Callithrix jacchus: one gene and its partners. The protein of the gene in region 1 purifies or fractionates together with the protein of each later gene. This does not show direct contact. Links are inferred from orthologs where the notes say so. Each region holds a gene or a part of one and is shown in the gene's direction. Other genes may lie near its edges. The genes, in order: RUVBL1, ZNHIT6, EPC2, DPCD, NOP58, ACTL6A and NOPCHAP1.

Region 1 (3,018 bases):
CCCCCAACCCCAACCAGGATCATCAGAGACTGGCTCCCCACCCCTGGAACTCCTGCCCGCAGGGTCCCGGCCTGGAGAGCTGACAGGTGAGGCTTGACATGGCCACCTCAGTAAACCTCTGGCTCTCCTCCCTCCTGGATGGCAGAAGCTGGGACTCAGTCTTTCCCAGCTCCTGGGCCTCTACCCTGGGTGTGCTTTTATGGCTTTAATTTCAACAAGGGCTTCTGGATATCTTGTTTACGAAGCTGCCAAAGTGAAAAATTCCTGTATTATATGCGGCTCGAAGTCCTGCAGTTATCTCAGCTCCACAACACACAACATCATTATCCCGGCTGCCCCTTATCACTCAGTGCTGGTGCGCCTGCAGGATCCTGGTCCACTATGTTACAGTGTCTCCGCCGCCAGCTTGCCTCCCCTCCACCTCTACGAAGATCTTCAAACTGCAACAAGCGTCAGCCTCTTCTTGATAGATTAGATATCTCCTGGTGATGTTATGAGGCCTGGTAAATTTTAAAAGTAACTTTTTTGATTTATTTAACCATCATATTTATCAAGCAAATAAAAAATGTCTCTTGCCTGAGTGCTTGTGGTACCCATGCTGGAGAGGAAGGTTAGAGCTCTTGAGGGAGCCCAGGGCAGGTTAGAAGAGGCCTCAGTTCTCTGTCTGGGGACAGGGGAGGTCAGGATGTGGAGTCAAGAGTGAGCCACCTGGGAAGCCACACACCTCCTGAGGCGCCAGCCACACTGAATCAGTTGAACACAGCACACTGGCCGTGATGCCATTCATGCATACTTTGGGGCCATACATGCCTGGAAGGTGCTGGGCTGGCAGTGCTGGGCAGGTGTTGGCTCCCTGCCCACCAGCCCAGGTCTTGGTTTCTCTTACGCTGCACAGTGAGAAATACTGAGTGACATTGTCTTTAAAGTACTTTAGAAATGGGGTGCTTGAGGTCAGTCACTGTTGATTGTGTTTTTTTCTCCTCTAAAAGATCATTAAAATCCGCGCCCAGACGGAGGGAATCAACATTAGTGAGGAGGCACTGAACCACCTGGGGGAGATTGGCACCAAGACCACACTGAGGTGAGCTGGTACCCTGAGCCCACCGGGGCCTCCTCAGCACAGCCAGGGCCCTCGCTGTGGTCGTTCTGGGCAATAAAGGCAGGTCCCCTCCCAGGCCACAGTACTATATCCATCTGCTCTTCCTGGTGTGTTGGGTGCCAGGGCAGTTGAGTTTCAAATGCAGAGGATCTAGCTGATGGTTTTTAACAGGGTAGAGTAAGGCCGAATTCCCTGTTTCCTACAGCAGATTCTCCCCTCTTGTGGAGAGTGCTTTGACCCTGGGCCTTCTTGTGGCAGAGAAGGTGCACAGAACTAGAGAGCAGGGCCCATGTGGCAGCTCATTAGCCCGGGCCCTGGCTCCTGTTCTCCTGCTGATATTATGAGACCTGGGAAATCTTTAACATTTTTATTTAACCATTATATTTATCAAGCAAATAAAAAATGTCTGGGGGCCTGCAGACCATGTCCTTAACAGTGGCCTAACTTATTGTAAAATCATTGCTTCACAGTCCTCAGCCCTTCCCAACATCCCTTGAGTCAGTTCTTGCTCCTGAGGTTGAAGGCAGAGATGCAAGCTGTGAGATCTGGAAAAGGGGGACTTTTTAAATTGACGGAGTCTTCGTGCCTTTCGATAGGCATGTACTTCCAGCTGGCCGTGTTTTCGTTTCCCTGCCATGTTAAATATCCCTATCTGTTAGGCACCTGTATACATCTAAGTTTGCAGTCCTTTTCCAGTAGCAGTGGCGTTACTTCCTATTGGAGAGAATTTGTAGACTGTACTAAAGATTTGGGGAAAGCACTTAAGTCTTGTTCGTGGCTCCTGGCCCGTCTCTCATGGGGTAGTGACTGCAGCTCTCTGAGAAGTGACAACTTTGTTTCCACTTCTCTGTGTTCACAACAGCTAGCACAAGCCTAGCATTTGGAACTGCCTCTGGTGCCAGTGCTGCCTACTGATTTGGGGGAAGGGGCTTCCTTTGGTGGCCCCAGTTTCACTTCAGCCTTGGCCTCTGTCCACTCTAGGTACTCAGTGCAGCTGCTGACCCCGGCCAACCTGCTTGCTAAAATCAACGGGAAGGACAGCATTGAGAAAGAGCACGTTGAGGAGATCAGTGAGCTTTTCTATGATGCCAAGTCATCCGCCAAAATTCTTGCTGACCAGCAGGATAAGTACATGAAGTGAGATGGCTGAGGTTTTCAGCAGCAAGAGACTCTCCAGGTGTGCCTGGCCCAGTTCTGGACAGCTCGCCCCTGGGCTTGGGGCTGCTGTCCCACTCAGGCGTGGTCTGCAGTGCTGTCAGTTCAGTGTGGAAAGCATTTCTTTTTAAATTATCATAACTTTTCCTGTGGTTGCTTGTAAAGAACCCTTCCTTACCTGGTGTGTTTTCTATAAATCTTCATAGGTTATTTTGATCTCTCTCTCTTCTTTAAGTTTTTTAAAAATAAACTTTTCAGAACAGTTTTAGATGTACAGAGTCATTGTGAACACACAACAGGGATGTTCACATGTATCTCATACCCAGTTTCCCTTATTGTTAACATGTTACAGCAGATAGCACATTTGTCACAGTGAATGACCAATACCGATGCATTATTATACTGCATTCATATTTTCTCTGTTTTAATTAATGTCTTTTCTTCTGTCCCAGGATTCCATCCATGATACCCCATTACAGGTAGTTGTCATGTCTCCTTAGATGTCTCTTGGCTGTGACATTTTCTTAGATTTTCCATGTTCTTGATGACCCTGACAGTTTTGAGGAGGACTAATCAGGTATTCTGCAGAACATCCCTCAATTGGGCTTTGTCTGATGCTTTTTTCATGAGTAGACTGGGATTGTGGATTATGGAAAGAAAGACCTCAGAGGTAAAATCCAGTTTTCATCACATATCATGTGCGGTTCTTATCACATGCTAGCAACATGATGGTGACCTTTACCATTTGGCTGAGGTCAAGTTTT
Region 2 (3,500 bases), on another chromosome or scaffold:
AAATACAAAAATTAGCCAGGCATGATGGTGTGCCCCTGTAACAACTTGGGAAGCTGAGGTAGGAGGATCACCTGAGCCCAGGAAGGTCAAGGCTGCAGTGAGCTGTGATTGCACCACTGCACCCCGACCTGGGCAGCAGAGTGAAACTCTGTCTCAAAAGAAAAAGAAAGAAGAAAAAGAAACTGGTGAGGGTTTCTAATTCTAAGTGCAAATGGAAACTATGGAAGGATTTTGGACAAAAATTTGCCTTTTGAAAAACCACTCTTGCTGCTCTGTGGACTTTAGGGAGGCAAGAGTGGAAGATTGGAAGCAGGGAGACCATTTATGCAGCTCTTCGCGTGATCCTTGTGAGATAATAGTGGCTTGGGTATGCCCTTAGAATTATTGAGAGGGGATTAGATTCTGATTTTGAAGGAAAAGCTAAGACTTGCTATTCTAATACACTTAATTTTCATACTCTTGCATTGCCTTTTTCATTCCTTAAATACTATGCAGAAGTACAGCTTACATATTTGGAATGTTTGGCAACTGGCGTTACAAAAATTCGTTCATGGTATGATTAAATCATATCCTGCAATTGTGTTCATTTTAGTATTGGAGTTGCAGGATTTTAATACCTTTTAAATACCTTATTTTATTGGTATTGGCATTTTTTATTGGTATTATATTACATGTATCTGAAAGAAAATTATTTATACAGCAACTCTTATTTTTCCTCAAACTTAATTAGGCACAATTAAAATTCTACTTAGAGATAAATTACTTTAAAACTTTTTTTTAATTGTAAAATACAGCATGTATTTGTTTTAGAAAGTCACAGAATGGAAATACACAGTATAATGAAAAATTATAAAATGAACATTCATGTAACTACCACCCAAGTCTAGAATTAGAACATTACTGGCTTCCCAGAAGTTCCATGCCACCCTCTTATGCCCTTCCCTGATCTTTATGTGTGTGAAGATGTTTTTCTAGGGTTTATACCTGAGAATAGAATTGCTTTGTTTTATGGTATGCATATCTTCAGTTTGCCTAGATGTTACCAAAACATTTTCCAAAGTGATATACTAGTTTACACTCTCACCAGTAGTGTATAAATGTACCTGTTGTCATATTCTCACCAATACTTAATTTGGTAAGACTTTAAAAATTTTTGTCAATCTGTTGGCTATGTAATTTTATTATGGTTTTCAATGTGCAGTTCTCTAATTTCTGATGAGAGTTAGGAAGTTATTCCCTCATAATTATTGCCTAAAAGCTTTATACTATTGCATTTTATACTTATGTCTTTAACTGGAATTGATTTTTGGTATCATGTACAGAGAAGGTCCCATTTAATTTTTCATATAGATGATCCACTTTTCCCAGCACCATTTATTGGAAAGTTCATCCTTTCCCTACTGCTCTGTAGGACCACCTTTGTTATATATCAGCATCCCTATATGCTTGGGTTATTTTGTGGGCTTGTCTTTTCCATTCCATTGACCTACTGGTCTATCCTGCACCAATACTACTCTCTCAATTATTTTAGTTTTTTACTGAAACTTGTTATCTGATTAAGGCCTCCCACTTCCTTTTCTCTAGTGTTTGGCTATTCATTGATGTTTGCAAGGCAAAATAATTGCAAATCTAAGCAAAGGATGGCCCATAGCCATAGCTGCTAATGGACTTTTTTTTTTCCTCTATTTCAGTGTAACCATACAAGTTCCCTAGCTTGCTCTCAAAATAGTGATAGTTTCTGGTTCACCCTTTTCCTGAAGGTATATTGGGAGGATTGATCACTGCTATTATAATTATTTATAGTAATCAATACCATTACTGAAACCAAAGTCCTCTAAGTTAGAAAATTACATGCAATTTCTTCAGACAGTTTCCTGCTTAGCCAGTGATAGCTGACCCATTCTTTCCCTTGGCTCATGACTTGATTCTGACTCTACCATTTTACATTGCAAATTCTAGATCCATATTCATTTAACAGAAAACTTGCATTTATACTTTACCTTTTCTTTGAGTGATCTTTTTCCTTGACTTAATAAAAAATCTGGTATTAATTCCTTCGTAACTCTGGAATTCTCCAGTTTAGCTTTTAATCAACCCACGTGGTCAATGTAGTACACATGTCAAAGCAAGAATGTTCTCATATCCCATTTTGTGCTTCACACAACAGTGGCTACTTTAAGCTAGGCCTGGTACTAGGCAGTGCCATGGCTCTTCCCTTGAGTGAATTGTCTACTAATAAAATCAGGGATACATACAACTAACTGGTAAAACCATCAGTAAAAGCAATCAAGAATTGTGTAGGTAGCCCCTATGATTGCCAAATGACCTGTTTGTTTGTTTGTTTGTTTTAATCTCCATTAAATTATTCTTTGACTCATAGCACTTATGGTTAAAAACACAAGCTCTAGAATTAGACCTGGGTTGAATACAGGTTCTTTCTCTCTGGGATAGCTGTATAATGTTGGTATCTCACTAATTCTTATTGCTGAAATGGAGATGATAATACCTATTCTGATAGTATCATTGTGAAGATTACATGAGATTACTTCTTAGAGCTGTTGTAACACTTAGGTTTTCAGTAAATCTAAACTATTATTGAACAATTGTTTCACTCACTTTTTAAATTTGAAGCATTTAAAAGTTAATTTGTCTGTTTGGTTTTGGTTGGTAGATGTACTTTATGAAAAATCGTGCCCGAAGGCAAGGTATTAATTTAAAACTTCTACCCAACGGATTCACCAAGAGGAAGGAGAATTCAACATTTTTTGATAAGAAGTAAGTTTCTAACTTCTTAGTATATCAGGTGTTGTGATTTGATCAGGATCACCGTTTAAGGTTTGGTTGCTATAGAGCATTGCTACCCCAAGTGTGAGTCTGTAAACTGTTTGTTGTTGGTCCATGACAAGATAGCTGTAGTAATTGTGTGTCATGTAACTCTAATAAAAATTTGGGTCTGCAGAGTGTGTGTGTGTTTGTCTGTGTGTGTGTGTTTCTTCATATCATTTGAGAAACTTCTCAAACATTAATGTGCCTATCAGTCACCTAGGCATCTTGTTAAATATGCTCGTTGTGATTTTTCAGTAGGCCTGAGTTGAAGTTTCATATTGTGCATTTCTAACAAACTCCTCAGTGATGCTGATTGTTTGAGGAACATATTTTGAGTAGCAGCACCCTAGAACACTCTCATACATTAGAAATAAACTGTTTCTTTGACACCTAAGATGCCAAGAAAGTATTTCAGGGGCTTCCAGGACAAAACAGCAAGTAAAAGCAGGACTCCTGTATGTTTTAATCAAGGCAGCTCTGCTTTTATATTTTTTCTGCATTGGGTTTCTAAAGATTTCATTTAAAAGCTGTCAATGGAGAAGAAGGGGACTTTGAACTCTTTTCAGTATAGATAATGTAACAGATTAGTTTGCTGCTGTCTGAAAAATGTTGAGTTGAAAAGGCCCCAAAAATACTGAGGAGAATAGGATCCCAAAGTACTTTAAGTAGCCAAC
Region 3 (3,500 bases), on another chromosome or scaffold:
GCCCTCTAATGGGTCAGTGCGACTGCCCTAGAGGTCCACTCAATTACATAGGGATATTTGGCCTGATATGACATGGTCTGGGCACAGTGCTTTCTAATAATGTGACAGCTTTCTGAAAGTCTTTATTCTTTTTCTTTAGGGTAGTTGGCTTATCACATCTTTGTAACCAATCTACTTACCTTAGCAAGTTTTCTTTTCTCTTCTGATTTTCTGCTTCTGGTCTATTAAGTTTACAAAATAATTTTTAGGAAATGAGTGGGGAGATAAAAGACTTTTCTTTGAGTAAAATCTGACCTTTATGACTTTGGTTTTTTTGTTGTGGTGGTTTCTTTGGGCTATTTATAAGCTGTTTTTACATCCTAGTTTTTGGCTTTATTACAGAGAGATAAAGTTATTGAATAAAAATAAACTTACCTATAGGTGAAATATAACTGTCATCATTAAATATTTATAGCCACATACATTATTACATTATTTATAAAATATAGTGGGATGTATACAAACTATATTAATTCTAAGTCAGTAGCATTTCATGTTTAGAAGCAATCAAGCAATGCCAGGTACAGTTAACCTCTAAGAACTAATCCATTAAAAATAAGGATTTTTAGCCATAGAACATTTTTACTAGTCATTGAATGTTTTGGGGAATTCAGCACCTACTATATATAATATAGAAGTGATTTACTGTTTGTGATCAGATTTAAATTTTACAGCATTACAAACATTGATCTTTTGATAACTCATAAATGGAATGCCTTTTTTGTCTAGGTATTGTCCCCAGTATCAGAACCAGAAGAAGAAAATGATCCTGATGGTCCCTGTGCTTTCAGAAGGCGGGCAGGATGCCAATATTATGCTGTAAGAACTTTTTTGTGTGTGTGGTGTTTTTGTGAACTGGAATTAACAGGTAACCCATGTCAAGATGACTTAGTCTTGATCTAAAAATGGGAAGTGCATCAGTACTTTTTATTTAACATCCTTTATGTGGATACTGGTAAAAGATGCTTAAAAGGTACTGAGTCCTTTCAAAGGGTATTGAAATCCTCTTAGAAATTGATAATTCCTCACATTTTAGAAATTTAGTTTCATTTTGGGCTCTAATTATAACTTCAGCAGTTGTGAAAATTACTTGGTATGTCATTACTAGAATTAGGAAAACCCAGAATTTGTAAGTTGAGTCTAGAACCTTTGATGGCTGCTAGGTGATTACTGAAATTTATTGTTATGTAAGCCCATCTTGTGCATACATACCAATAAGTATCAAACAAAGTAATAATTTTTGAACTTTCCTAATGGCGATGTTTTGTCTAAAAATTGTGGTGGTGGCTTTTTTGGGCTATTTATAAGCTGTTTTAACACACATAGAAGTTGCTTTATGCTATGAAGTCAAATTATATCACTCTCCAAGGTTCTTAGATGAAGTGTAATGTAGCCTTGTAAGGATGGCTTTGGCTTTCTTATATGGCTTGTAGAGATCATATATCTTATAACATGATGGTAAACATACACTGACAACTTTTTTAGGGTGTGTAAATTTAGAAGAGGTGATTTGTCTACTGGTTATGCTGATGAGAGAAAGGAAAATTCTTAAGAAAAGGGACAGACATAGCATGACAGAATGATGGAGGGAATGGGAAGGCAGGGAACAGGCTGTTTGTATGTATATGTGTGTGTATGTATGTATGTATTTATGAGAAAGAGTCTTGCTCTGTCACTCAAGTTGGAGTACAGTGGTGCAGTCATACAGTTCACTGTAACTTTAAACTCATAGGTTCAAGCAGTCCTCCCACCTCAGCCTCCTGGGATTACAGGCACACACAACCACATGCTGTTAATTTATGTATTTTTCTGTAGAGACAGGGTCCTGCTACATTGCCCAGGCTGATCTTGAACTCCTGATCTCTAGTAATCCTCTTGTCTTGGCCTCCTAAAGTGCTAGGATTACAGGCATGAGCCACTGTGTTCCACTTGGTTGTATGTTTCTTAAAAATGAAGAGGAAGCTTCAGTTTGACCCCATAAGTGTTTGAAGTGCGATTTTTAGTCCAAAAAATATTCTTTCTGGTTCTCAGTAGAAAACCTAAAAATTACTCTGTAATTTCACCATTTCTACTTTGTACGCAAATGTTAAAAGCTGTATTATTTTAAAGATATATTCCTTTTTAAGCATAATTGACCCTAAATGAATTTATAAACTAAATTCAGTTTGGGTAATCTTGGGTAATCTTGGTTAGTGAACTTTTGATTCGGTTTTATAAAATTTAACCTGATTAATAGTTTCATGTCGAAATTTTAATTGTTCCGCTAATGTTGCAGTTGCTTCATTTTTATCATGATCTAACCTGTCTTCATTTCAGATTTATTCCATGGGTTTTTCTTTCTTTCTTTATTTGCAGCCTCGTTTGGACCAAGCTAACCATTCATGTGAAAATTCAGAATTGGCAGATTTGGATAAGTTGAGGTATAGGCATTGCCTTACAACACTTACAGTCCCGAGAAGATGTATAGGATTTGCAAGGAGGCGAATTGGCAGGGGTGGAAGGTGAAGTATTTGTTTTCACCTGGTTTTTGTTTACGATATGGAACAGAAGACCAAGAGAAAATGTTAAGCTCTGTCAGTTAATATTTGGTTTTATTTTGCTTTTCAGGGTCATAATGGACCGAATATCCACAGAACATGACCCAGTCCTGAAACAGATAGACCCTGAAATGCTGAATAGTTTTTCAAGCTCTTCCCAAACTACAGACTTTTCTTCTAATTTCTCTCGGACCAATGCTTCTAGTAAACATTGTGAAAATAGACTGTCCCTTTCTGAAATATTAAGCAATATCAGATCATGTCGACTACAGTGTTTCCAGCCAAGGCTACTAAATTTACAGGACAGTGATAGTGAAGAGTGTACCTCAAGAAAACCAGGGCAGACTGTGAACAATAAAAGAGTTTCTGCGGCATCTCTAGCTTTATTGAACACCAGCAAGAATGGCATATCAGGTAAGCTGTTGCTGTGTTAAAAGTATATCCTGCTATTCTTTTCCACTTAATTTTATTATCTACTAAATAAATTCTCAGGGTAAAATTTGAAGATTTATTTTCCCACTTAGGAAAGGAATTTTATCTTTACTACATTTTTTTTTCCAACCTAGAAACCAAATTGTACTGTTGTGCCTCACATTTTAACCAAATTGCCCTAACCAGTGCTGTAAAACCAGTGACATCTATTTTGAGTGTGTGCCTGGTATGATCAATGTAGGCAGAATGCATACAGTGTTTCCCTATGGGCACCCTGCTTATAAGCTGCCACTAGATCATCACAGCATAGTACTATCTGGTGCTTATGTTAAAGGTAGTTTTCATTTTGGTGTGTTGAACTTTGATTAAATGTAACTATTGCTTCTTGAGAGTACCTTTGAAAACACTTTCTGAAAATGATTTTTAGAAGACTCTATGAATAATTTTTTTTTTAAGATGGGGTCTCACTCTGTCGCCCAGTCTGGAGTATAG
Region 4 (4,168 bases), on another chromosome or scaffold:
AGGCAAAAATTCTACTGGTCATTCCCTGAGAGTCCAGGGAGTCCTTTCTGATTTATAGAGGTCTTTGGGTAGAAAAGAAGATAACACAGCAAATGGCCTGTCCAAGACCCAGGACCAAGCTTAGTACAAAGCAGGTACAAACAGACCTGCAAGCCCTGGACAGGCAAAGTCAGCTCCAATATCTGATTCTGGACATGAACAACGTAGGGCTGAAGCACATGAAGGCTGAGGGTTCAAGGGAATGAGGGTTCTGAGGGTCGGTTAACTCACCTTCTGCTTCTTCTCCCTCTTCCCTCCTGGGAATCTTTGCAAGTACTTTTGATGATGCATCGGCATGAATTTTCTTCCGCTTGGGAAATGCCTTCAAGATACCCCTGGGATCCATTGAAGTACGGCTAGATCTCGGTCTGTCAGAGGGTTGACCAGGGCAGCTGTCATGTGGAAATTCAAAATTCATGCTCTCCAACCTATTTGCCTGTGGAGGTAGGGTGTTCCCTGACTAGGCCTTAGGGATAGCAGCCCAGTTCGGGGAGACAGTGCTGGGGGGGGGTCTCCTCAAACCCCATTAAACTTCACTGGTGTAGCCTAGCTTCCCACTCCCCAGCCTTTCAAAGTATTAGTCTTTCGGAGTATTAGGGGGAAATGAGAAGACTGGGACCATTGGGGGTACTTTTGAGGAGCAGGAAACAACACCATTCCTCACTGGGGTTGCTCTAAAGATTCAGCACAGCCCTACTGCTGCAGCCCCCTTCTGAAGGGCTTTACCAAAATGGGATACTGGGCTAGGGAGTGGAGCGGAGACTGGGGAGAACCTGCACCATAAACCCCACATAATCTTTCTCTACCTTCAACACAGTTGCAGAGGAAAACCTAAGGAGGGGGACTTTCGGGGGTGAGTGGGAACGCCCTGCACCTGCCCTGGTCTCAGCCTCTCGGCACGGGGGTGCTCAGCCCCACAGCTGCGGGGAGATAGGGCACGGCCGCAGCAGGTGTGAGGCACCCTCCGGATTGGAGGAGTCTCAGTCTCGCAGCTGGGGATGGAGAAGACCCGGGCAGGTGTGCTGTACCCGACGCGTACGCAGCTGGCGCAGGCCGGGGAATCCCAGCTCCGGGCTAGAGGAAAGCTGCAGCGCCCGACCCAGGCTCCAAGAGTCCCTCTCCAACCCCCGAAGTCGGTCCCCGGGTGGGTTAGACAACTGGCCAAGCTGATCATTCGCAGGTGGGCAGGAATAAATCACTTACCAGGAGAGCCAATGAGAGCGGACGAAGGGGGAAAAGCGAGCAAATGCCCAGAATAGCTTCCGAGTCAGCCGGAAGTGACCCTCAGTGGAACGGTTGCCATGGCAGCGGCCGGGCGCGCTGCTTGGCAGAGGAAAGATGGCGGTGACGGGATGGTTGGAGAGTCTGCGGACGGCCGAGAAGACTGCGCTGCTGCAGGATGGTAACTCGAGAGCCCTCGCGAGCTCCCTCGTTTTTTCCCCCCAGGGTCCACCCCACAGGAAAGGCCTCAGGGTCTGCAGAGCTGAAAGGGTCTCGGCAGTCAGCTGGGCCAGGTCCCTGCATTTGTAGATGAGGAGACTGAGGCTCAGAGATGACGTGACTGGAACACAGGTCTCCGGACACCGATTAGATTCCTCTACACCAACTCGCTCTGCTTTGAGTTTGTTGCTAATATAATAATTTCTTTCACATTCATTATCTCATTTGCTCCTCACCACTGTCCTGAGAGGTTAATTTTTCACCCCGTTTTACAGAAGAGGAAACTGAACTCCAAGAATGCTTCAGACTTTAGAGAGGAAAGAGGCCTGGGCTGTAGTTCCGACTCTGCCATTAATTCACCACGGGCTCTTCAGCCCTTTAATTTGTTTGGACCTCACTTTCATCGTCTGTAAAATGAAGTGGATGGGCTACCACTGAGGCCCTTTCCAGCTGTAATATTTTTGTAAAGTGAACGTCTTTTTTTTTTTTTAAAGACGGGGTTTCACCATGTTGGTCAGTCTGGTATTGAACTCCCGACCTCAGGTGATCCGCCCGTCTTGGCCTCCAAAGTGCTTGGATTACAGGCGTGAGCCACTACTCCCGGCCTAAAGTGAACCTCTTAATGTTTTCTGTGTCTTTAGGAGAGCTAGAGCAAGGACCAAGGGCTGTGCCTGGAAGAGGTGGGCACAGGGGCATGGATACCTAACTTTTTGCCACCCTAGGATTGGCCGATGTCGCCCCTCTGTGCACTTGGGTCCTTTCTGGACCCACTGGGGAGCCAGGTTGAATTGGGTCTGAAGTTCCTGAGGTTTCGAAGATAACAGCAGGTGATTCACATTCACAGGTAGAGGCCAGTCAAGGCAGCCTAAAGTTGGTGGAAATTAAAATCATTTGCCCTTTAGTGCAACATTTAGGGAGGCTTTTACTATGTGCCAAGCTCTAAACTTGAACTGAAAGAAAAAGATATGTTGTCCCAGGACTTACAGTGGTTGGGAAAAACATGTATGCAAATAATAAGATGTGCTAAATAGAGGTGTAATCTTGTATAAAATGGTAGGAAATAATGAAAGTGTATATGATACCTCTTTGGGGAAAGACCCAAGAGAAGTGATGATGTTTCTGGGTCCTAAATAATTAATAAGGGCAGGCACAGTGGCTCATGCCCATAATTCCAACACTCTGGGAGGCCAAGGCAGGCGGATCATTTGAGCTCAGGAGTTTGAGACCAGCCTGAGCAACTTTGTCTCTACAAAAAATACAAAAATTATGGCTGGGGGTGGTGGCTCATGCCTGCAATCCCAGCACTTTGGGAGGCCAAGGTAGGTGGATCACTTGAGGCCACCTGAGGAGTTCGGGACCAGCCTGGCCAACACGGTGAAACCCCATCTCTACTAAAAATACAAAAATTAGCCAGGCATGGAGGTGTATGCCTGTAATTCCAGCTACTCCAGAGGCTAAAGCAGGAGAATCACTTGAACCCAGGAGACGGAGGTTGCAGTGAGCTGAGATCACACCACTGCATTCCAGCCTGGGTAACAGAGTAAGTGAGACTCTGTCTCAAACAAAAAATAAAAATTAGGTGGGTGTCATGGCACATGCCTGTAGTTCCAGCTACTTGTGGTGGCTAAGGCCAGAGGATCACTTGAGCCGGGAGGTAGATGCAGCAGTGAGCCAAGGTCATGCCACTGCACTCCAGCTTGGGTGACAGAGCGAGACCCTGTCTCAAAATACAGAAGAAAAAAAAAGAATTAATAGGTGTTTGCTGAGTGAAGAAGCGGATAGTTATTCAAGGAAGAATGACTCACATATAAAGGCCCATATGTGAAGGTACATAGATGATTACTAGAGGAATAACAGAACGTTTAGTGATGTTAAAGCAGTCACTCAGTCAGAATAAACCACCTGTAACTATGTCAGGTACTATTCTAGGTGACAAGATAGAAGGGAGAATAAAAAGTTCCCTTTTCTCAAGCAGCAACGAGGGGAAGTTGTAGGAAATGAAGAGAGATTACAGATAAATTGTGATAGATTGTGACATATTGTGATAGATCTCTTATGCCTTGCTAAAGATTTAGGACATTTTTTCATAGGACAGTGGTTTTTGTTTTTATTGTGGTAACAGATACGTAACAGAATTTAGCATTTAATCATTTTTAAGTGTACAGTTCTGTGGCATTAAGCACATTCACATTGTTGTACAACTATCACCACCATCCAGCTCCAGAACTTTTTAATCTTTCTCAACTGAAGTTCTGTTTTTTGTTTTTTGGAGACAGGGACTTACTCTGTCACCCAGGCTGGTGCAATCTTAGCTTGAACTCCTAGGCTCATGTAATACTCCCACCTCAGCCTCTTAAATAGCTGGGACTACAAGCATGTGCCACTACACCTAGCTCAAGTGAAACTCGGTACCCATCAAATGCCAAGTCCTCATTCCCTCCCCCCCATCTCCCGGCAACCACCATTCTACTTTCTGTCTCTATGAATTTGACTACTCTAGGAACCTCATCTAAGTGGAATCATACCGTATTTGTCCTTGTGTAACTGGCATATTTCACTTAGCATAATGCTTCAGGTTCATCCATGTTGCCACAGTTGGATGCTTCACCACGGGCTCTGCAGGCAGCCCTTTACCTGTTTGGACCTCACTTTCCTCATCTCTAAAATGAAGTGGATGGGCTACCATTGT
Region 5 (3,500 bases), on another chromosome or scaffold:
TGTTGCACTGGCTGGAGTGCTGTGGCACAGTCTCTGCTCACTGCAACCTCTGCCTCCCGGGTTCAAGCAATTCCCCTGCCTCAGCCTCCCAAGTTGCTGGGGTTACAGGCGCCCACCACCATGCCTGGCTAATTTTTGTATTTTTAGTTGAGATGGGGTTTCACTGTGTTGGCCAAGCTGGTCTCAAACTTTTGACCTCAGGTGATCCACCTGCCTCGGCCTTGCAAAGTGCTGGATAAATTACAGGCAGGAGCCACTGCGTGCAGTCTGGCATAATTTCTTTAGCTGCATCATTAATCAGAGGTTTCATTCAAGTGCCTGCAGCTGTAAGATCAGATGATTTCATTTTCTTCACCTGTTTTCATGCATACAGCTAAAGTTGTAGCACTAATCGATGGCAGGGGTTAATAGAAGTATGTATTTGTTGGCTGGGCACCGTGGCTCACACCTGTAATCCCAGTACTTTGGGAGGCCGAGGTGGGTGGATCACCTGAGGTTGGGAATTTGAGACAAGCCTGGCCAACATGTCTCTTACTAATAGCACAAAAATTAGCCGGCCATAGGGGCATTCACCTGTAATCCCAACTACTCAGGAGGCTGAGGCAGGAGAATCTCTTGAACCCAGGAGGCGGAGGTTGCACTGAGCCAAAATTGTGCCATTGCACTCCAGTCTGGGTGACAAGAGTAAAACTCCATCTCAAAAAAAGAAGTATGTATTTGTTGCACTTTAAAAAATATGTCTCATGGTAAAGTTTGTAGCATTAATGGTGAGTGTGCTTTCTGACAGGAAATATTCTATACAACATTTCCAGCTAAGCAGTATGTTGATAACTCACTAGTACAGTAGTCCCCAGCTATCCATGAGGATATATTCTGAGCCCCCCCACCCCCACCCATGGATGTTTGAAACAGAGGATAGTAGTGAACTCTGTGCTGTATATGCTGTTTTTTCCTAAACACACATACGTATGATAAAGTTTAATTTATAAGTTAGATACAGTAGGACATCAACAACAGTAATAATAAAACAATTATGACAATATCCCAGTGTCACTATTTTTCTGCATTGGTTACATGAACATAAGCACTGCAATATTGCACTGTGGAGAGGGCTAGGAAAGTGACTAATGGGTAGATAGGGATAATTCATATTCTCCCTATCTGAATATGGGGACTGAGTGCGGTGGCAAGAGATTTGAAACTTTGGAACTGTTTATTTCTGGAATTTCCTTTTTAATATTTTCAGACTGCAGTTGACCACAGTTAATTGAAACCACAGATAGGGAACTATTAGTATACTTCTAGGAATATATTTTCTTAATCCACAGCTGAATCAACAGAAGTAAATAAGTTGTGAATTTATTATAGGGTTATGCTACCGAGATGTCCTAATAAATGTGTTTGTTTGTAGGCTTTTTCATATCTTTTTGTTTGTTTGTTTTTGAGACGGAGTTTCGCTCTTGTTACCCAGGCTAGAGTGCAATGGCACAATCTTGGCTCACCCCCGCCTCAGCCTCCCGAGTGGCTGGGACTACAGGCGTGCACCACCGTGCCCAGCTAATTTTTGTATTTTTAGTAGAGATGGGGTTTCACCATGTCGACCAGGATGGTCTTGATCTCTTGACCTTGTGATCCACCCGCCTCGGCCTCCCAAAGTGCTGGGATTATAGGCATGAGCCACCGTGCCTGGCCAGGCTTTTTCATATCTAAAGCAATAGAATATTTAATACAATCTCAGAAAATAGGGGCCAGATTAGTGTTCTCGTGTGTGACATATTTGTGTTACTCCTGTAGTATACTAATGGAATATAGAATAGTACTACCATCTCTGGGGTGAATAGAAACATTGAACTAAAAAGCTTAACCTTCAGTTTGCCCTAGGCATTCATCACAAACCTGCTTGTACTGATGAAGGAATTAGAAACGAAACATCAGGCTTTTTAGGGAATTCTGGCTTAAAGAATTCTGTATTATATGTGATTTTTATTTTATTATGGTGGGCATAATAATTCTATAGGTCTTTTGTTTTAGTACATGGAACATTCAGATGTTTGGAAGTGCATTCTTTGTAACTTTCTTCTTTTGTAGGTTCTCTTTTGAATTTGGCCAAGCATGCAGCTTCTACAGTTCAAATTCTTGGAGCAGAAAAGGCACTTTTCAGAGCCCTCAAATCTAGACGGGATACCCCTAAGTATGGTCTCATTTATCATGCTTCACTCGTCGGCCAGACAAGTCCCAAGCACAAAGGAAAGGTGTGTTACATGGTTTTGTTTTTTGAGGTTGGACTTTTTTATTATATAACCACTTTTCTCTATAGTGCATATTAAATCTTCGTATAATCTCTTTCTTGTTAAATAGAGAAAGGTGAGTTATGTAAAAAGCATTTTGTGGTGGGGTACGGTGGCTCACGTTTGTAATCCCAACATTGGGGAGGCTGCGGTGGGTGGATCACCTGAGGTCAGGAGTTTGAGACCAGCCTGACCAACATGGAGAAACCCCATCTCTACTAAAAATAGAAAAATTATCCAGGCATGGTTGTGGGCGCCTATAGTCCCAGCTCCTCGGGAGGCTGAGGCAGGTCACTTGAGATCAGGAGTTGGGCCAGCCTGACCAACAGCTGAAGCCTGGGACTATAGGCACGTGCCACCATGCTCAGCTGTTTTTTGTATTTTTAGTAGAGATGGGGTTTCACCATGTTCACCAGCTCCTGGCTTCATGGTCCACCGCCTTGGCCTCCAAAGTGCTGGGATTACAAGTGTGAGCCACCGTGCCTGGCCTAAATTTGTAATAGCCTTATGAGATATACGTATCTCTGTTTTACTGATGGTGAAACTGAGGCTTAGACAAGTTAAGTACTTTCAGTCTTTTTGAATGATGTGTAGTTTAACAGAACTAAACTGAAATTTGATAAAATCTAGAGTAGAATGGTAGAGGTAATAAAGGGTTCAATAAAATAAACTTAAGAAAAAGAACCACACATATTTAAGATTATTATGGGTTAAAGATGCACTTGTTCTGAATGATCTCAAGGCACAGAACTAATGTCACTGAGTAGAAACTAAAGTTTAAAAATGTTAAAAAAAAGCCAGGCATGGTGGCTTATGCCTATAAATCCCAGCACTTTGAGGGGCCGAGATGGGTGGATCACAAGGTCAAGAGATCGAGACCATCCTGGTCAACATGGTGAAAACCCATCTCTACTAAAAATACAAAAATTAGCTGGGCATGGTGGTGCATGCCTGTAGTCCCAGCCACTCGAGAGGCTGAGGCAGGAGAATTGGTTGAACCCAGGAGACCGAGGTTGCGGTGAGCCGAGATCGCGCCATTGCACTCCAGCCTGGGTAACAAGAGCGAAACTTGGTCTCAAAAAAATAAAATAAAAATGTTTAAAAAAAAAAAAAAGGCCAGGCATAGTGGCACATGCCTGTAATCCAAGCTCTTTGGGAGGTCAGGGAGGCGGATCACAAGGACAGAGTTTGAGACCAGCCTGGACAACGTGG
Region 6 (3,500 bases), about 66 Mb from region 1:
GACAGAGTCTCACTCTTGCCCAGGCTGGAGTGCAGTAGTGCAATCTTGGCACACAGCAACCTCCGCCTCCTGGGTTCAAGTGATTCTCCTGCCTCAGCCTCCTGAGTAGCTAGGACTATTTAGTAGAGATGGGGTTTCACCGGTTAGCCAAGATGGTCTTGCTCTCCTGACCTCATGATCTGCCTGCCTTGGCCTCCCAAAGTGCTGGGATTACAGGTGTGAGCCACCCCTGTGTTGCCCAGGCTGGTCTTGAACTCCTGGCCTCAACTGATCCTCCTACCTTAGCCTCCCAAAGTGCTGAGATTTCAGGCATGAGCCACTGCACCCCACTCTATCTGACAGTTTTTGTACCTAAAAATGAAGATTTTTTTAATATGAGGAAAAATTAGGATGATTAGTCATTTTTTTCTAGATACTAAACAAGATTTTTCTAGAGGTCATATTAGTTCATAGCATTTTATTAAACTGTTTTATACACTGTACAGTCATTAAAAGTTGCATAAAATGTGATGTATATATGTTGCTTCTAATCTAGCTTATTTTTAAGGAGAAACTGGTCTTCTGAAGTTGGTTTTGTTATGCAGGACTGTGGTGCAGGGGTTCCCTGTTGTTTACCTCTTATGATTGTTTCATAACTGTCGTAACTTAAATGTGTGTAATTTAGCCTCTAATGCAAATGTTTAGCGTTGGGTTTCTTGATACTCAGAATCCTTGTGAGGTAGATTTATACTCTTGAAATTATTTACCCATACAGAAACAGGGTCCAGTTTTATTCCGAAAAGTATTTAAAATATGTTATAAAAGTGTAGATTAAAAAGATAAATCTCAACCTTGTTTTTTAAACTTTTTTCTTTTACTCATAGTGTGTTATCCAGGATTTTCAAGCTTCAGTACTTCAAGTGTCGGATTCAACTTATGATGAACAGTATGTTTTCTTATTTAAATTGTTACTTTATAAATAAGGAAAGGATTTGTTTAAAAAATATCATGGAACGTACTTAATTGAATAATGCTTAAAATATTCTCACTCCCATTATTTTAAAAGTTGATAATTCCCTAGTAGTTTATCATTTCGAAGAGAATTAATTTTGTCTTTTGTGTGATACTGTTTAATACGTTTTCAGAGTGGCTGCACAGATGCCAACTGTTCATTATGAATTCCCCAATGGCTACAATTGTGATTTTGGTGCAGAGCGGCTAAAAATTCCGGAAGGATTATTTGACCCTTCCAATGTAAAGGTATAAAAGCTTATTTCATAATGAGCCTGGCTTTTTCTATATGTGTAAGGAGTGTTTGTGATTATAAAATAAGACTAAAACGTTTTGGATGTGCTTTAACTGTTTGAAGTTCTTCCATGTGACTCTTTGTTTTCTTTTGTTGTAGGGGTTATCAGGAAACACAATGTTAGGAGTCAGTCACGTTGTCACCACAAGTGTTGGGATGTGTGATATTGATATCAGACCAGTAAGTGCCAGATCTTTTAGGGTACTGACGTGTCTCCAAGTCATTGTTAGGTTGTCAGTGTCATTGACTTTGAAGTTTGTTTTATAACAGTAGATATAAAAAGAGGAAGTACTGAAAAAGGAAAAGTCAAAACTCTAGAGCTATGGAGTCCGGACTGGTAGCTACCTGCCACATGTAGCAATTTAAATTAAATAAAAACTTAAAATTCAGCTCTTCAGTTATAGTAGCCTCATTATACATGTGGCTGGTGGCTGCTTCATCAGGCAGGGCAGATACAGAACATTTGTATCATCACAGAAAGTTCTTATAGAAGGTGCCACGCTGGAGATTTCCTGAAATGTGGCCAACCAAAATATGTATTATTGGTGATTTTCTTTTTTTTTCTTGAGACGGAGTTTCACTCTTGCTACCCATGCTGGAGTGCAATGGCATGATCTCGGCTCACCACAACCTCCGCCTTCTGGGTTCAGGCAGTTCTCCTGCCTCAGCCTCCTGAGTAGCTGGGATTACAGGCACGCACCACCATGCCCAGCTAAGTTTTTGTATTTTTAGTAGAGACGGGGTTTCACCATGTTGACCAGGATGGTCTCAATCTCTTGACCTCGTAATCCACCTGCCTCAGCCTCCCAAAGTGCTGGCATTACAGGCTTGAGCCACCGCGCCCGGCCCCTGGTGATTTTCTTAAAGATAGCACAACTTCTGCATTTCTTTTTCAGGAAGGTGTGTTTTAAATTATATGAGTAACTTTTACATGAAGTTCATATTAGATGATCTTCATATTTTTTTGTGCTTTGTCAGGTTTTAAATACTAGCCCCATGTTATATACTTCACTCATTATCAGTGATAGGACCTTGGAGACTGCAACTTTAAGTGAAATGATGTACAGTAGGTTCTTGAAGGACATTGTTTCAGGAAAAAAATTGGTTTTGTTACGTCGTTTTCCTGAAAGTCAGTTTCCAAGGACATATTGATGACATTAAGTGAGGACTGACGTCATCTTATTTAAACCCGATTCGATTAAGCTTATTGCTCGCAGACTGCCTGGATTTTGAGTAAATTAATTTGCTTAAAGCATAGAGTGCTAACAGCTACTATGTTGTTCAGAAAAGACTTGGAGTGGCTGTGAAAATCATACTTTATTTCACCGGAAACCTAGCAGGCATGTGATGTTTCAAGGACCAATAGGAGTGTCAGTTTGGGATTTTTTTTTTTAGCGCACATACAAGTCCACCTTTGGGGAAAGGTAATTGAAGTATATTTGTTGCAACAGTGGTAACTTTATTTTTAGTGAAATTTCTCCTTTTAACTAATGAGGTACTTTTTTATTCCATTTTCTACTTCAAAATTTAGATGATTTAGACATTTTGAATATGTTTTAAAAATAGGAATTTATCCACTAAAACAGGTTGACTTTTAACCTTCTGAAGCATACATGCAAATTCAAAGTAAATATATTTTGTATAAGTAGTAGTTTATTTTTATTTGGGGAAGCCTCACTTGTGTTTTAGAAAACTCCCATGTACTTCTGATGCATACCTCTGCAAAAGAGAAAGGTAGCAATCATTTTGGACAGGATTATGTTCAGAGTTCATCTTTGTCCATCATAATCATAAATTTTGAATATCCTAACTTCCAGATAAGCATTCTTTTTCAAAATATTTGTAATTTTAATTTTTGGCTGGTGGTTGGTATTAAATTTTCCAGATGAGCATTCTAAGATAAAGTTGTTATAAAATACACTTCTATTATTGGCAGCTATCTGCCAAAAAAATGATCATTTTTAGGACGATTCCTTTAAGTTAGCGGTTCTTAAAACTTTGTGCACATTAAACTAATCTTGGGAGTTAAAAAGCATGCCTGCCAGGCACAGTGGCATGTAGTCCCAGTTGCTTGGGAGCCTGAGACAGGAGGAGGATTGTTGGAAGCCGGGAGTTTGAGGCTGTGGTACGCTATGATAGTGCCTGTGAATAGCCACTGCATTCCAATGTAGGCAATATAGCGAGACCCCGTCTCTAAAAGTAATCTTGCCTGGAT
Region 7 (4,029 bases), on another chromosome or scaffold:
CTGTCAAAAAGAATGAAGCAACCAAACAACAACAAAAAAGGAAATACATTATTGACAAGGATGTGGAGAAACTGGAACTCTTGTGCACTGATGGTGGGAATGTAAAATGGTGCAGCCACTATGAAAAACAATATGGAGGCTCCTCAAAAAGCTAAGAAGTAGAATTACCATATTATCCAGTAATCTCACGTCTGGATATGTATACCAAAGCATCGAAAAGCGGGTCTTGAAGAGATATTTGTGCAACCATGTTCATTGCAGCATCCTTCACAATGACCACGAGGTGAGAGCAACCCACGCATTTGTTGAGATGAACGGTAAAAAAATGTGGCATATACATACAATGGCATATTATTCGGGCTTAAAAAAGAAGAGAATCCTGTTATGTGCTACATGTCTAAACCTTGAGGATATTATTTTAAGTGAAATTAGTCACAAAAAGACAAGTACTGTATGATTCCACTTACGTGAAGTATCTGAAGTAGTCAAGTTCATAGTAACAGAAAGTAGAAACGTGGTAGCGAGGCATGATGGCTCACACCTATAATCCCAGCATTGTGGGAGGCCAAGGTGGGTGGATCTCCTGAGGTCAGGAGATTGAGACCAGCCAGGCCGACATGGTGAACCTCTGCCTCTACACAAAAATACAAAAATTAGCCGGGCCTGGTAGTGTGCACCTGTAATCCCAGCTACTCTGGAGGTTGAGGCACCAGTCTGGGTGACACGGCAAGACTGTTTCAAAAAAAGAAAGAAAGAAGAATGGTGGTTACCAAGGGACTGGGGTAGGGGCAAATGGGTACAGAGTTTCAGTTTTGCACGATGAAAATGACGTAGAGGTCCACTGCACAACAATGTGAACATCGTTAACACCACTGAATTGTTCAATTAAAATCGGTTAAGAAGGTAGATTTTGTTATTTTTTCTCACTAATTAAAAATATAAATTTAATAAAAAAGGATAGAGGACGGCAGCCCAATGCTTTGCTCTTTATGCCCCAATTCGTTTGGCGAAATAGAGCTTTGCCAGCTCCTTTTTACTATGACAGTGTCAGAACCTTCCTTTTTCGAACAGTACGAACGGCCCAACCTCCCGCGCAGCCTCCCGGCTGCACCCACGGGACGCCCAGACCCTCTCTCCGCTCCTTACTCCGCCCACTGCAGTTTCCTCCAATCGCGGCCCTCTCCCCGCCCCCTTACTCGAGCCTCTTTCCGGCATCCGGGCCTGAGAGTGCAGGTTTGGGAGGCTTGCGGGAAGCATGGAGGTTCATGGAAATCCCCAGGCTAGCCCGAGTTGTTCGTCTCCCAGCCGGGACTGCTCGGGGGTCCCAGTGTCCAGGGAGCTGCTGACTACGGGAAGCGACGGTCGCGGAGGTGACAGGACGGACGACTACGGCGTGGGCCGCGCTTCTGCGGCGGAGGAGGCGCGACCGGAGCAGCTCGGGGCCGGTGGCTCTCTGCCCGGGCTCCACACCCTCGAGGGGAGCCTCGGGGACTTCTCCGGGGCTCCAGGGTGCCCTGCTCGCGGCAGGGGTGGGGGCTTTGGAGTGGGCACCCGGCTGCGGGCCCGGAACGGCTTCCCTAGCTAGTGGTTCTTATATTTTGCAAGGTAGTGAGCGCCCACCCCGTCAGGCGCTGCTGCCGGGCACCTCCGCTGCCCTGGAAGCTGGGACGCTCTCGAACTCTTTCGGGGAAGGGAGGGCTTTTGGTCGGGCTTCCTGGGTCGGAGCAGTTGACTGGTAGGGGGAGGCAGAGGAATATTATGTCTAACCGTCCCTCTTCCTTCTTCATACGCACACCGACCACCCATTAGTGCCGCTGTCTTGTAGAGGGAAACGTGCATCCAGGAAATCCACACAGCATTTATACACTACAGATAGAATTTAAAAGCATGAGTTCGAATCCCACCTCCACTAGTAATTAACTAGTAGGCCCTAGAGTTATTTTCATTCTCTAAGCCTCAGTTTTTGCATTTAGAAAATGGAGGTAGTAATAGTGCCTGTAGCATTTTTGTAGGAGGAGAATGCATAAAAGGGTTGGGCAGGCTGTCAATAAATACTAGGTTGAAGAAAAGGCTTTATGAAAACCCAGAGATTCCTAAGGACATGTAATAATGATAACCGAAGCCTATGTGGTGCTTATTGTGTATGCCCCAGGAGCTAACACATTTAATCCTCACAACAACCCTTTGCAGAAAATTTATTGTCTCTGTTTTATAGTTGAGAAAGTCGATACATGATTTACCATACAGGTAATTTACTTTCTGGACATCATGTGGCTGGAAAGTAGCAAGACTGGGACTTGAATTCAGGTATTCTGGCTCCAGAGTCTGTGCTCTGATCACGAATCCAGTAGGCCTTAAGTAGCAAGCATTTAGCAGATGTGTGTTGCACTGTGCTTTTCAGGTGAACAGGCTTTGTTTTTAAACCAGAGTTAAGGGATTTTTCGGATATTAGAAATAGGGCGTGCAGAGCCTTGAGTTTTGTTAGGTTCCCCTCTTGGAACTCTGATGGGATAGAGAGTTGGGATGATTCGAGTAGTGAGAGATGAGGCTGAAAAGGTAGAGTGGGTGACATAATGTAGTCAAAAGGCTGCTTTGTTTGGGTTGAACATCTTCACGGAAGGGGAAATACCAGGCAAGCATGTTTTACTAATGAAGAAACAAATGCTCGGAGGTCAGGTAATTTGCCCAGTGTTACACAACTAGTAACCGTTTCTGGCTTCGCTTAACCATTGTTTTTTTGTTTTTTGTTTTTTTTTTTTTGAGATGGAGTTTCACTCTTGTTACCCAGGCTGGAGTGCAATGGCGTGATCTCGGCTCACTGCAACCTCCGCCTCCTGGGTTCAGGCAATTCTCCTGCCTCTCAGCCTCCTGAGTAGCTGGGATTACAGGCACACACCACAGTGCCCAGCTAATTTTTTGTATTTTTAGTAGAGACGGGGTTTCACCATGTTGACCAGGATGGTCTCGATCTCTTGACCTCGTGATCCACCCGCCTCGGCCTCCCAAAGTGCTGGGATTACAGGCATGAGCCACCGCTTAACCACTCTTAATGCTCTGTACTGTTTCCTCCATTCTGTCATTACAGACCCACATTTGTCTCCTGATGAATTTCTGATCCAGAAAGGGGTAGTTTAGTGTGCATTTATTACTTCCATTGGTGATAGAGGTGAATGAGATGGTGTCAGAAAGGAGAGGTGGCTGTCCATAAAGGATTAAAATGTTGTATTGGAACTTGGAGCGCTTTTTTTTAAAAAAAAATCTTGGGGAGTATGAACAGTCAAGACTTAAGACTGGTCATGTGAGAGGCTTGCTGATGGGCCGTTGTTTTTTTTATGCTGTAGTAAATTAAGGGTGTCTGTGTGTCTATATTTTCAGGTCTATGGGACAGGTTGCTCATCAATCCCCAACCTAAGTCCAGAAAGACTTCCACTCTTCAAACAGTTCGGATAGAAAGGAGTCCCTGTAAGTACCTCTTCCCCTCTCTCACCCTCTCTAATGCTGAGTTTTGTCTAATTATGCTGTTATTTGATGGGACAGTTTCTGCCTTCATGGTCAGGTATCCACAGTCCAGTGGAACAAGTCTTACTTGGGATTTACATGATAAAGTCAGTACACAGGATCGAATTTGTTACATTATTTCTCTACCTTAAGAGAGTAACTTTTGCATGAAAAACTCCATATGGGATGAATTTTAAGAAGTCAAAAACAACTATTGTTAATTTCCATGGCAAGTTTTTTTAGAGGTTAGTGAGCCTCAAACTTAATACATATGGATGGAAAACCTCAACCACATCCTATTGAATTGGACACAATTATTTAAATGATAAATATTACTTAGAATACAGCTTAACAGGGCCAATTCTCTGTTAATTATTCTGTAGCATTGCTATATTACACATTTATAAGTATGTCCCACACTCAGACTTTCTGTATTACATGAATGTCCTCTATGAATTCACTCCTTTTTTTTTTTTTTTTTTTGAGACAGAGTTTCGCTCTTGTTACCCAGGCTGGAGGGCAATTGCGCGA

Evidence for each region.
Region 2: the proteins of RUVBL1 (region 1) and ZNHIT6 purify together in Homo sapiens (co-immunoprecipitation; 3 studies listed by BioGRID and IntAct, counting the BioPlex papers as one, with this or other methods). This does not show direct contact. The link is inferred for Callithrix jacchus from reciprocal best matches to the Homo sapiens genes RUVBL1 and ZNHIT6.
Region 3: the proteins of RUVBL1 (region 1) and EPC2 purify together in Homo sapiens (co-immunoprecipitation; 3 studies listed by BioGRID and IntAct, counting the BioPlex papers as one, with this or other methods). This does not show direct contact. The link is inferred for Callithrix jacchus from reciprocal best matches to the Homo sapiens genes RUVBL1 and EPC2.
Region 4: the proteins of RUVBL1 (region 1) and DPCD purify together in Homo sapiens (affinity purification with mass spectrometry; 6 studies listed by BioGRID and IntAct, counting the BioPlex papers as one, with this or other methods). This does not show direct contact. The link is inferred for Callithrix jacchus from reciprocal best matches to the Homo sapiens genes RUVBL1 and DPCD.
Region 5: the proteins of RUVBL1 (region 1) and NOP58 purify together in Homo sapiens (affinity purification with mass spectrometry; 4 studies listed by BioGRID and IntAct, with this or other methods). This does not show direct contact. The link is inferred for Callithrix jacchus from reciprocal best matches to the Homo sapiens genes RUVBL1 and NOP58.
Region 6: the proteins of RUVBL1 (region 1) and ACTL6A purify together in Homo sapiens (affinity purification with mass spectrometry; 10 studies listed by BioGRID and IntAct, counting the BioPlex papers as one, with this or other methods). This does not show direct contact. The link is inferred for Callithrix jacchus from reciprocal best matches to the Homo sapiens genes RUVBL1 and ACTL6A.
Region 7: the proteins of RUVBL1 (region 1) and NOPCHAP1 purify together in Homo sapiens (affinity purification with mass spectrometry; 4 studies listed by BioGRID and IntAct, counting the BioPlex papers as one, with this or other methods). This does not show direct contact. The link is inferred for Callithrix jacchus from reciprocal best matches to the Homo sapiens genes RUVBL1 and NOPCHAP1.

The regions. Positions count from the first base shown.
Region 1 is NC_133516.1:74,067,474-74,070,491, forward strand, and holds the end of RUVBL1 (ruvB-like 1), read left to right. Parts: intron 1-989; coding exon 990-1,081; intron 1,082-2,080; coding exon 2,081-2,240; 3' UTR 2,241-2,518; downstream 2,519-3,018. UniProt on the Homo sapiens protein: Possesses single-stranded DNA-stimulated ATPase and ATP-dependent DNA helicase (3' to 5') activity; hexamerization is thought to be critical for ATP hydrolysis and adjacent subunits in the ring-like structure contribute to the ATPase activity.
Region 2 is NC_133508.1:122,939,871-122,943,370, reverse strand, and holds part of ZNHIT6 (box C/D snoRNA protein 1), read left to right. Parts: intron 1-2,671; coding exon 2,672-2,775; intron 2,776-3,500. UniProt on the Homo sapiens protein: Required for box C/D snoRNAs accumulation involved in snoRNA processing, snoRNA transport to the nucleolus and ribosome biogenesis.
Region 3 is NC_133507.1:81,631,839-81,635,338, reverse strand, and holds part of EPC2 (enhancer of polycomb homolog 2), read left to right. Parts: intron 1-768; coding exon 769-858; intron 859-2,394; coding exon 2,395-2,540; intron 2,541-2,646; coding exon 2,647-2,990; intron 2,991-3,500. UniProt on the Homo sapiens protein: May play a role in transcription or DNA repair.
Region 4 is NC_133513.1:94,544,510-94,548,677, forward strand, and holds the start of DPCD (protein DPCD), read left to right. Parts: upstream 1-1,368; 5' UTR 1,369-1,377; coding exon 1,378-1,441; intron 1,442-4,168. Other genes in the region: POLL (DNA polymerase lambda), read right to left, coding at 271-431, 1,068-1,213. UniProt on the Homo sapiens protein: May play a role in the formation or function of ciliated cells.
Region 5 is NC_133507.1:123,462,970-123,466,469, forward strand, and holds part of NOP58 (nucleolar protein 58), read left to right. Parts: intron 1-2,088; coding exon 2,089-2,252; intron 2,253-3,500. UniProt on the Homo sapiens protein: Required for the biogenesis of box C/D snoRNAs such as U3, U8 and U14 snoRNAs. Part of the small subunit (SSU) processome, first precursor of the small eukaryotic ribosomal subunit.
Region 6 is NC_133516.1:7,809,714-7,813,213, forward strand, and holds part of ACTL6A (actin-like protein 6A), read left to right. Parts: intron 1-863; coding exon 864-925; intron 926-1,124; coding exon 1,125-1,239; intron 1,240-1,384; coding exon 1,385-1,465; intron 1,466-3,500.
Region 7 is NC_133510.1:107,919,013-107,923,041, forward strand, and holds the start of NOPCHAP1 (NOP protein chaperone 1), read left to right. Parts: upstream 1-1,229; 5' UTR 1,230-1,255; coding exon 1,256-1,370; intron 1,371-3,375; coding exon 3,376-3,462; intron 3,463-4,029. UniProt on the Homo sapiens protein: Client-loading PAQosome/R2TP complex cofactor that selects NOP58 to promote box C/D small nucleolar ribonucleoprotein (snoRNP) assembly. Acts as a bridge between NOP58 and the R2TP complex via RUVBL1:RUVBL2.